Tribolium castaneum: one gene and its partners. The protein of the gene in region 1 purifies or fractionates together with the protein of each later gene. This does not show direct contact. Links are inferred from orthologs where the notes say so. Each region holds a gene or a part of one and is shown on either strand. Other genes may lie near its edges. The genes, in order: Polr2C, GPN-loop GTPase 1 and Fcp1.

Region 1 (2,866 bases):
CTTAAACAGTGCGCTTTTTAGCAACTGCACGTTATGTAGCAAATTGCTCAATTCTTCGCAAAACTTGACGCCCCTTTGCCCAGCCTTGCATTTTTGGGTGATGTCAAACAAATAATTCCAAACATCGAAATTGTACTGCTGGTAACCCTCGGGTAGAGGCCCATGGTCGGGATTTTTTTTCAAATGTTGAATCATTTTGTTTTTGCCCAAATAAGCCTTGAAGCATTTGGGGCACTTGAACTGGGCTTTCACCACCCGCTTTCTGGTCTGTAATTGAGCAAATTCTATTTTACTGTTCTCCTTCTCCTCAACTCTCTCAAAATCCGTGACTTGTACTTCGCGATCATTAACACTGGGTTGAAATTTTTTGAAATCCTGTGAAACATCACTGATTAACTTCTAAAACACTTGAAAATTTACCTTTTCTATGTGTTTTGGGAGCTTGACTAGACGACCAGAACGAGTCCTGGAAGCTTTAGAAGCCTCGACATTGTCCGTTTTTGATTCGGTATTTGCATCAGTTTGTGGCGCTTCGTGCTTCTTCTTTTTAGGGCGTCCACGTTTTACAAGATTTGGAGCTCGCTAATTAAAAAAATAAATTCAAGGAATAAGAGATAAGTGGTTCTCACAATCAAACTCAGTTCTTGGGGGTACACAATTTTGACGACACATGGTTGTTCCTCGGGGTACATAATTTGGAAACCCAGTGGTTCTTCTTGGGGAACACTCGTGCAAGGTTCTTCAATGATTTCAAGAGGCTTATCCATGGATTCAACTAAGATGTGAGGATTACTCACGGTTTGGGCAATCTGTAGTTGACTATCAACTTGTTCTGCCAAGTGTATGGTTTCGAGGGGCTAGAATAACGTTGCAATATAATACTTTAATCTTACTAATTTATAAATAACAATTAGCACTTACCTCACTAATTTGAACTACATATGGCGTTGTGGGAATGTTATCGGTCATTATTATTGGACACTTGTTAATTTCTCACGATATTTAAACTGTTTTCGCGTTTTTTATTTTTAAATAAAAATTTGCAGAGGTTGACAAATCCTTGACACCACAAAAATTGACAGTTTTGATAGGCACAGGCAACCAGTTACACAAGACAGTGCTGTAAGTTGCCTTTTATAATAAGTTTTGAGGTTCTGTCGTGTTGTTGTCGGTGTTTGTGTTAAAAAAAGTTCAAATCCTGTCTTTTCGTAATTGAAATTTTCTAATATGCCGTACGCAAACCAGCCCTCGGTCCACATAACCGATTTAACCGACGATAATGTGAAATTCTACATTGAAGACACCGATCTGAGGTGAGCAACAATTCTTTAAGGGGGCACTAACTGGCCAATTTTTAGCGTGGCTAACAGCATCAGGCGCGTCCTAATCGCCGAAACGCCAACTTTGGCCATCGATTGGGTCAAGTTGGAGGCGAACTCAACCGTCCTAAGTGACGAATTTTTGGCCCACAGAATAGGCTTGATCCCCCTCATATCAGACGACGTGGTGCAACGTCTCCAATACCCAAGAGTTAGTCGTTTAATTTGATCTATTTCACATCTAAAATGCAATTTCCAGGACTGCATTTGCACCGATTTTTGTCATGAATGCAGTGTTGAATTCACCCTTGATGTGAAATGCACTGACGACCACACGCGGCACGTTACCACCGCAGATTTAAAATCGAGCGATCCTAGAGTTATTCCGGCCACTTCCAAACACAGGGACGATGAATCGTCAGAGTATGGCGACACTGACGAAATTCTGATCATCAAGTTGCGGAAAGGGCAAGAGTTGAAGGTTAAAGCTTACGCTAAAAAGGGGTTCGGTAAGGAACACGCCAAGTGGAACCCCACGGCGGGGGTGGCCTTCGAGTACGACCCCGATAATGCTATGAGACACACGCTTTTTCCTAAGCCAGACGAATGGCCCAAGAGCGAATACAGCGAACTGGATGAGGATCAATGTAAATATTTTACTTGTTAGTTGTTTTGTTTGACCATAATGTTCCAGACGAGGCTGATTTTAACTGGGAATTGAAACCAAACAAGTTTTATTTCAATGTGGAAGCTGCAGGAGCCCTAAAACCCGAAAATATCGTCATAATGGGGGTGGCAATGCTGAAGGATAAATTGTCCAATTTGCAGACTCAGCTTAATCATGAAGTACAGAACGATGCCCTTGCTATTTAATTATAACGTTAATAAAGCCGATAATTTTTAAATTAGTGTTTTGTTTGAACTGTCACTTTTTACAATTACTGAAACAGTCAGTTCCTTCTTTCTGTTGAAAAAATGAACGAGCACGACGACAGAATTAAGTTGGACATCTTTAGAAGCAAAACCACTTATCAGAATGACTACAAAAAATTCCCACTTGAGCCTCGTAAAGACACTTTGAATTGTCAAGCAAAATTTTTGGACAAAAAAGACAAGCCCCCGAGTGAGTATGTCCCTAAAGACAATGAAACTTTTGCGGCCCGACGCCCCGACGTCTACATCCCGTTTAACTTACTTTGGAGACGCAAAGAGATCACAGGCACGGACCCCCATGTACCTTTCGAAACCCCCGTATGTACAAAAATACAGTCAACAAAATAAAAAGATACAATTAAGGTAATTCCCGAGAATGCAGCCAAAGAAAACGTAATCAAGACAAGACCAAGGGTTTACATGTCCCCAGCTGTGAGTATCGACGACGTTTCAGACCCCGAAATGCGCAACTTGTTGCTGGCCCACATGTACACCTCAGAGTGGACGAAAGCCATCCAGGAATCGTCCGTCAAACCCACTGAGAGACATATCCCCAACACCACGGTCGAACAAGCAGGCGATCCGGTAAGAAAAACCACTCAAAACGCGTCTGC
Region 2 (3,496 bases), on another chromosome or scaffold:
CTTAAAATAAAAATTCAATAACATTGCATCTGATTGGTTATTCTTACAGCAGTGATAGCCAATCACCGTCACGCCACGGGTGCTGTGCAAGTGCATTGGTGAGTAAGTCAGTGGCGGCGTCTTGGGGATGAAAACGGGGAGCATTTGTTGCAATCCAACTGCAACAAAAATGATTTAAATCATATGACCAATTAATTTTATTTGATTTTTACGTCAAATTGAATCTGACATGTTCAATATCGTTGGTGGCGTTGCTCAATAATCCATTAAATGTCACTCGGTGACGTTTGAATGGTTCCAGAATTTCCAAATGGAGGTCTTTTGTTTTCCAATGCCAATCTGATAGATTATACTGTTTTGTCTTTTTTTCACCTATTTATTAATAGAATTACAGTTAGATATGTTAATATTATTGTTTACCAGGAAATGTATAGATGGCGCCTGTTGAAAGCCGTAAACAAAGAAAAACCTCGCCTACTAGACCTGACCCAATTATAAAACGTAACGATAGACTATTGCCTTTTTGATCTGCTCCATATATAAAATAATTATCACAGTACTGTAAAAAAAATTATATTAATTGATACTAACTTATCTAATAGATTAGTTTAATGTTTTACATTTTCCGTCCGAATTTCTATTGGACTTTCGGTTATGTTAATTTTTGTTTTGAATTTGTTTTGATGTTTTTTGACGGCCGATTTTGCGATTAGGAATTTAATTATATAAAACCAATCTAAAATTAATCAAGTAAATACATAATTAATTATGGAAAGAAATAAATACCTCGGTTTGTGTAAAAACGATTTTTTGTCCGATGTTGGAATACAAGAACGTAGAGTGAGATCGGAATTAGAAAAAGTGTTACGTAATAACAAAAATTGAGTAAGAGCTCCATGGTCACGACTAGAAGTAATTTCGATTAAATGTTTCAAACAGGTGTTTGAGATAATAATAATTATTATCTAAACTTGAAATTTTAACTTATCTGCGTGAGCACTTTGGATTGGAGTTGGATAGAGACACATTTACAGATCAGTGATGTAAACATAAATCAAGGCCAAACAGATAATTGCATTGCTTATTATTACATGAAAGTATTAGTATCATAGGTCAATGCCATCATTCCGAAACGGAAGTGAACATTTTTGTGATTTAAATGTAATTTTCAAAAAAAGAACCCCAGAAAGTACGCCACTGGAGAATTTGTAAAAATTAAATTATGGGTTTTTTAAATCCAGTTAGTGCAAAAGCGATTACATGAATTGATTTAAAAGTTATTATATACAATCAAAAATTTTCTGTCTTGAGGCACAAATTTGCAAAGATTGTTTGAACCTAAATACACAGCTTCTGTTCCAACTGTCAAATGTCATGAAGCTAACCAAACTTTTTTTCCACTTTATTTTATGAAAAATGTCCGAAACGGGGGGCAAAGCTCCCGTGAGTGTAATAGTGCTTGGAATGGCCGGTTCTGGCAAAACTTGTCTTGTTACTCGCTTATCAAATTCTCCGAAAAAACCGTACGTTGTGAATTTGGACCCTGCTTGTTTCAATTTACCCTATTTCGCTAATATTGGCAAGTATTCGCGGGCGTCAAAGTTTTCTTGGGATTTAATGTTAAATTACAGATATTAGAGATACGGTAAATTACAAGGAGGTTATGAAGCAGTACAAATTAGGCCCTAATGGTGCTATCGTCACAAGTTTGAACTTATTTTCAACGAAATTCTCTGAAGTGATTGGTTTTATTGAAAAGTCGAATCATGATTTGTGCATTTTGGATACTCCTGGTCAAATTGAGGTGTTTACTTGGTCGGTTTCGGGTTCGATTATTACCGAAACTTTGGCTTCAACTTTACCAACAATCATTTTATACGTTGTTGATTGTGTGCGAAGTACTTCTCCTGTTACGTTTATGTCAAACATGCTTTACGCTTGCTCGATTTTGTATAAAACGCGTCTTCCTTTCATTGTTGTTATGAATAAAGTTGATATCGTTGATCATTCATATGCTGTTGATTGGATGACCGATTTTGAGTCGTTTCAACAAGCACTTGAAGCTGCTGACGACGAAAGCTACATCAGCAATTTGACGAGGTCTATGGCTTTAACATTGGATGAGTTTTACCGAAATTTAAAAGTTTGTGGAGTAAGCGCTGCCACAGGACAAGGACTTGAAGATTTATATAAACTAATAGACGAAGCTAGGATTTTATACGAAACGTAATAACTTTATTTCTATATTTTGTAGTTACTGGAATATTTATTTATTTATATCTATTTTAGTGAATATAGAAGCGAATGGTTGAAAATAAAACAACAATCAGAAGCACAAAAATTGGAAAAATCGAAAAATAATGAACAATGTTTTACGTTGTCGGCTGGGGCCGAATTGTCTGATGTTTTTCTAAGACATCCAGGTAATGACAGTAGTGAAGACTCTGAGGGTGAAGAACAGGCGGCTCCATATCAACAAAGTAGGGACTTGTTTGATTAATTTATTATTTGATTTGATTCTTTTATTAGATGTTGATAATGAAAAAGAAGACGATGTGTTTAAAAAAGTGCTACAACAACAAAGAGAAATGCAAGTGAAAAGGGCAAAAGAAGCAGAGATGAAGAAACACCAAACCTAGTAGGTAATTTATTAAATAAAAGGAAAAAATATAGAAAACAACAATTAAAATTTTATTCACTTGAAACTAGAAATAAATTACAATAAATTATTCAGATCGTTGGTTAAGAAAAAAATTAACACATTTTGTGTGTCAAAAAGAAAAAAAAAACCATAGCTGGTGTTAAGTTTTTTCTTAGGCACATCAATTGCGTACATATTTTTTCCTATTTTATATAAATATATATAATAATAAATAAATAAATGTCTATTGTATTTAGCGTTCAACATACAATTAGTTGGCACGCTTTTCTATCAATATAAAAATAAATATAGAAACTTTGTAAAATAAAATCAACTCTTCAATTAACACAAAAACCATTCTCAGTCAGAAACAAAAAAGAAAAAATGAAGCAATTAACAAAAAAACGAATTTTGTAGATAATTATCGCCTGCTCCCATATTTCTCACATTATTCGAATTATAATTTTGGAAGCGATTACGGTTTTGTAAATTATCAGGCGGCTGTGGTGGCATTTTCCTGAAGGGATTCATTGTCCCTCCTCGAAACGGTGGTACAAAACCTAAACACCCGAAATGCCAAAATTAAGTCAAAACCTCCGTTTCTTACCCCTGTTGTGCATTGAAAAACTCCAATTTTCCAAATATTGAGCTTTTTGACGGCCGTGATCTTCTGCTACGCGAACACTCAACGGAAGCATTGCGTTTTCAAGCAGTTTGCCATCAAGGTCGGCTATGGCAGCTTTGGCCTCTTCTCCTCGCGAAAAACTAAACGAAAAACAAATTATTATTTACAAAGTTTTAATAATTATTATTATCATCATTATTATACCGGACAAAGGCAACTCCACGTGGCAT
Region 3 (4,296 bases), on another chromosome or scaffold:
ATCACCATTGATGGCAAACAAATCAAATTACAAATTTGGGACACTGCCGGACAGGAGGCTTTTAGATCTATAACGCGGTCGTACTATCGGGGGGCTGCTGGCGCTCTTTTAGTTTATGACATTACGAGGAGGGAGACTTTCAACCATTTGACTACATGGCTTGATGATGCCCGCCAGCATTCCAACTCAAATATGGTCATCATGTTGATTGGAAACAAAAGGTGTTCATCCCGTTTTATTTTTTTTTTTTTCAAAAGTGTTAACTAAACCCTTCCAGTGATCTAGAGAGTAGGAGAGAAGTGAAAAAGGAAGAAGGAGAAGCTTTTGCCAGAGAACACGGACTAGTCTTTATGGAAACTTCAGCAAAAACGGCCGCCAACGTTGAAGAAGCGTTTATAAACACAGCAAAAGAGATCTATGAGAAAATACAAGAGGGAGTCTTTGACATTAACAATGAGGTAAATCAGCGGTTCTGCTCTGTTAAGCTAATTGGCATTTTCTAAAGGTTACACAAACTTTAGAAATCAATAATTTTATACATTAGCAAGTTCATTACCCCATTTTTGGTGATACTTTCTTCTGACTTTGAAATTAAGTTGGCAGCTTGAGACGTCACACGTATAGTGCTGCCAACTCAAATTCACAACTATTGTGTTTTAAATTTTGTTGTTGAAATTGTGCAGGCAAATGGAATCAAGATTGGCCCCCAACATTCCCCCACAAATCCATCGCTTCCTGGTGCAGGCGGCGCCGGGGGTTCGCAGGGTTCGAGTTGCTGTTAAGATGACTTGTCTGTCTTGAGGGTTACATTATGTGTAAGAGAGAAACCCTTATTAAAGAATTGAAAGTGACTGCACAGGTTTATTACATAAATTAATGATCTGATATCTTCCAAATTAGCAAGTTGCACTTTACCCCATCGTTCAACAACCTTTAGAGACAAAACTTTTCAAATATTTTGATACATATGGTGATATTGGCCCCCACTAATTTATGTAATGAAAGGATTATTATTGTGATTATTTTAAGAGTGTGGTATAGTTAGTCCAATACAGGTCACATATTTATTGTTTTGAGTTCATATTTTATAGAGTACCAACCGAAAAGCCGTTTCAGAAGCATTACATCTTACTTTAAACCAACTTTATTTTTGTTATTGGTGATAATAGTGTTATGTGTTTTATTGCGACTATTATACTTAATTAAGAAATGTAGTGTTTATCTCATTAAATAAATTTGTATTGTAAAACGTCAAATTTTTTATGTAAGCTTCATGTAATATAATCAAATATAAGTTGTATTGCCAGTTTGTGTTTGTTTTACCCAAAATTTGAAACGGGCGCGTGAGTAATGGCACCCGGAAGTGCACGCGTCGTCCAATCAGGCCGCGTTCTGCGTTCATGAGTGAAGTCGTTTCCGTGCAAGATGGCGGAAAAAACTATGTGCATATCACAGCAACAAACAAAACCTATAAAAATTTTAAAATGGAAAGTGAGCGAAGGGAACACTGTCTCGATCGGAAGAGTAATCCTTCTGTATGATTTTGACGGGGCTTCCAAGGTGGAACAACGCAAGTTGAAGGTAACACAGGCCGGAACAATTTTTAAGATTGTGGCGCAGGAAGGCGCCATTGTCAAGCCAGGGTAAGCAACAGTTTTGAAAAGGCGCGCGAAAGCTCACGCTCGAATTTTCAGCGAGACTTTGTGCGAATTGAAAGAATGCACGCATCCGACGGTGATGAACGACATGTGCGCAGAATGCGGCACGGATTTGAGGAAAAACGACGTCAGTGTGGCGGCTTCCGTGCCCATGGTGCATGCCATACCTGACTTGAAAGTCAGCGAAGAGGTGGTTGCGTTATATAAAATGCCGCTGCGGGGGTTTGACTTGCATTGTTGCAGCTTGCACAGAAACTCGGCAAAGCGGACGTTGATCGGCTTATTAGAGACAGGAAACTTGTCCTGCTTGTGGACTTGGATCAGACCTTGATCCACACAACCAATGACCACATTCAGCCGAACATCAAGGATATCTATCGCTTTCAGTTATACGGGCCCAATTCACCTTGGTACTTCACAAGGTTGAGGCCCGGAACCCATCAGTTTTTGAACAATATTTACCCGTTTTACGAGCTGCATATTTGCACCTTTGGCGCAAGGAATTACGCACATATGATTGCTGCGGTTCTGGACAGGGACCAGAAGTTTTTCTCAAATCGTATTCTCTCGCGGGATGAGTGTTTTGACCCAACTAGCAAAAAGGCGAACTTAAAGTACGTATTTGAAAAGAAAAATCTGAAAAATCATTCCGTTATTCCTGTTTTTTGAGTCTTTCAAAATCATAAGTAAATAGTTTTTCTCTTCAAGTGTTTTTGAATCACTTTGCATATGTTCACTCTACCATATTTGAGTGTAGAAGGTCTAGCTTTCGAAAAAAAAAAGGCAAAAATGAGACCAGGATGAAAAACTTGATAAATTCGGACAAGAAAGCAAAATTAAAAGTAATTTTTGCCTTAATTACTCTCAAATCGAAGGTACTTTAAGACGAACTTGCACAATAAATAAATATATCGGATTAAAAATTTAAAACCAACTTGTTAAACTGAGAGAAGCAAGCTAAAGTAACAGTTTCGATCTAATTTTCTAGTCTTAGACTATCTTCGTGATATTTAAAACAACAATTGTGCTAAAAGTTCGCGAAAATATTTTTTTATATTTTTTGATACGCTGTGTTACATAATTTTTTATATTTAGGGCTCTATTTCCTTGCGGGGACAACATGGTGTGTATTATTGACGACAGAGAGGACGTGTGGTCGAACGCCGCAAATTTGATTCATGTCAAGCCGTACCATTTTTTTCAACACACCGGCGACATAAACGCACCCCCTGGTTTAGACAAACATGAAAATGATAACAAGGGAGTTGATTTAACAAAAATTAAAGACCAGAAAAAAGACGAACAAATCCAGAATAACGATAGTAAAGCGACAGAAAATGACAGTGAGAAAAATGGTGAAAATGTCGAGGAAAGTAAAGTTGAGAATCAGGTTTCAAATGAATCTGAGAGTACAAAAAACGAGAGTAAAGAAAATACCGAAGATAGTGAAGGAAATAATAAAGTAGATGAAAATAAAAACGGTGACGACAGTAGCGAACAAAAAATTGAAAATGTTGAATCTAAAGGTGTGAATGGTGAAGCAGTAACTAATGACGAAAAGCCTCCACCTGAAGAAAGTAAAACGCAAACGGAAGGGGACACCAAAACTGAAACCCCTCCGGAAACAAAAAACGCAATCGAAATAAACAATCATTTAGTAGAAGTTGAAGACCCCGATGACTATCTCTCCTATCTAGAAGATATACTAAAACGTATTCATCAAGCTTTCTATGACGCTTATGATAAAATGGAATCGGGAGAGGTTCCCGACTTGAAGAAGGTGATTCCCGGGGTGCGAAGTCAGGTGCTACAGGGCTACAAGCTGGTTTTTAGCGGGTTGGTGCCAACTCACATCAAATTAGAACAATCAAAAGCGTACCAAATCGCCAAGAGTTTGGGTGCTGAAGTTACGCAAGAGCTGGAGGACGACACGACACATTTGGTGGCTGTTAGGCCAGGCACTGCTAAGGTGAACGCCGGCAGAAGAAAGAAGAACTTGAAGATTGTTACACCCGATTGGCTGTGGTGTTGTGCAGAACGGTGGGAGCACGTAGACGAGAAGATTTTTGCTTTGAATAGCAAAGGCTCAAAAAACCGGCATCCACCGCCTCATTGCAGCAGTCCAGAGCATATTATAAGTTATCCAGAGCACAATACGCCCGCTATGCGAAAAAGGACACCCAGTGGAAGGTTTATGGACACGATTAATCCTCTCATGTCGTTTTCCAGCGCAGATATAGCGGATATGGATAAGGAGGTAAGGTTAAAAATTAGGTGAAAGGGGAATACGTTTATTGTGTTCCTAAACCGGACACTAGGGTACCAGCTATAGAAAAAAAGCGTTGTCCATAAAATCTTAATTAAATTTGCAGCAACCAAGACTTTTATTTAATAAAAAATCGTCAATTAAAAATAATGTAGGGCGACGAATTTGTTTTCAACCAACTTCAGTTAGGATCTTCTTTATCTGACAAACTGGTCGAAAGTCGGCAATTAGTTTTATTCAGTTTGACATTTTGTTTTATAATTACAAACGTTTTTTTTTTTTGGTACTCTTGCCTTTTGCGGTTGGGGGCAATGTAATTATGAATATTTGTTCAAAATTGTAATTAAAAAATGGTTGGTTGATGCAAATTCT

The links.
Region 2: the proteins of Polr2C (region 1) and GPN-loop GTPase 1 purify together in Homo sapiens (affinity purification with mass spectrometry; 3 studies listed by BioGRID and IntAct, with this or other methods). This does not show direct contact. The link is inferred for Tribolium castaneum from reciprocal best matches to the Homo sapiens genes POLR2C and GPN1.
Region 3: the proteins of Polr2C (region 1) and Fcp1 purify together in Homo sapiens (affinity purification with mass spectrometry; 3 studies listed by BioGRID and IntAct, with this or other methods). This does not show direct contact. The link is inferred for Tribolium castaneum from reciprocal best matches to the Homo sapiens genes POLR2C and CTDP1.

The regions. Positions count from the first base shown.
Region 1 is NC_087398.1:8,331,866-8,334,731, reverse strand, and holds Polr2C (DNA-directed RNA polymerase II subunit RPB3), read left to right. Parts: upstream 1-1,171; 5' UTR 1,172-1,227; coding exon 1,228-1,313; intron 1,314-1,358; coding exon 1,359-1,530; intron 1,531-1,578; coding exon 1,579-1,966; intron 1,967-2,013; coding exon 2,014-2,192; 3' UTR 2,193-2,224; downstream 2,225-2,866. Other genes in the region: uncharacterized protein LOC103314918, read right to left, coding at 1-375, 421-582, 630-857, 922-969; uncharacterized protein LOC103314913, read left to right, coding at 2,295-2,570, 2,616-2,837. UniProt on the Homo sapiens protein: Core component of RNA polymerase II (Pol II), a DNA-dependent RNA polymerase which synthesizes mRNA precursors and many functional non-coding RNAs using the four ribonucleoside triphosphates as substrates.
Region 2 is NC_087401.1:17,593,946-17,597,441, forward strand, and holds GPN-loop GTPase 1, read left to right. Parts: upstream 1-1,274; 5' UTR 1,275-1,416; coding exon 1,417-1,579; intron 1,580-1,631; coding exon 1,632-2,226; intron 2,227-2,289; coding exon 2,290-2,480; intron 2,481-2,529; coding exon 2,530-2,639; 3' UTR 2,640-2,971; downstream 2,972-3,496. Other genes in the region: rifampicin phosphotransferase-like, read right to left, coding at 48-158, 213-372, 421-559, 621-736, 787-898; Sxl (sex lethal), read right to left, coding at 3,035-3,201, 3,249-3,406, 3,471-3,496. UniProt on the Homo sapiens protein: Small GTPase required for proper nuclear import of RNA polymerase II (RNAPII). May act at an RNAP assembly step prior to nuclear import.
Region 3 is NC_087396.1:10,632,706-10,637,001, forward strand, and holds the start of Fcp1 (RNA polymerase II subunit A C-terminal domain phosphatase), read left to right. Parts: upstream 1-1,385; 5' UTR 1,386-1,425; coding exon 1,426-1,643; intron 1,644-1,694; coding exon 1,695-1,848; intron 1,849-1,901; coding exon 1,902-2,272; intron 2,273-2,753; coding exon 2,754-3,915; intron 3,916-4,296. Other genes in the region: Rab2 (ras-related protein Rab-2), read left to right, coding at 1-221, 278-458, 684-782. UniProt on the Homo sapiens protein: Processively dephosphorylates 'Ser-2' and 'Ser-5' of the heptad repeats YSPTSPS in the C-terminal domain of the largest RNA polymerase II subunit. This promotes the activity of RNA polymerase II.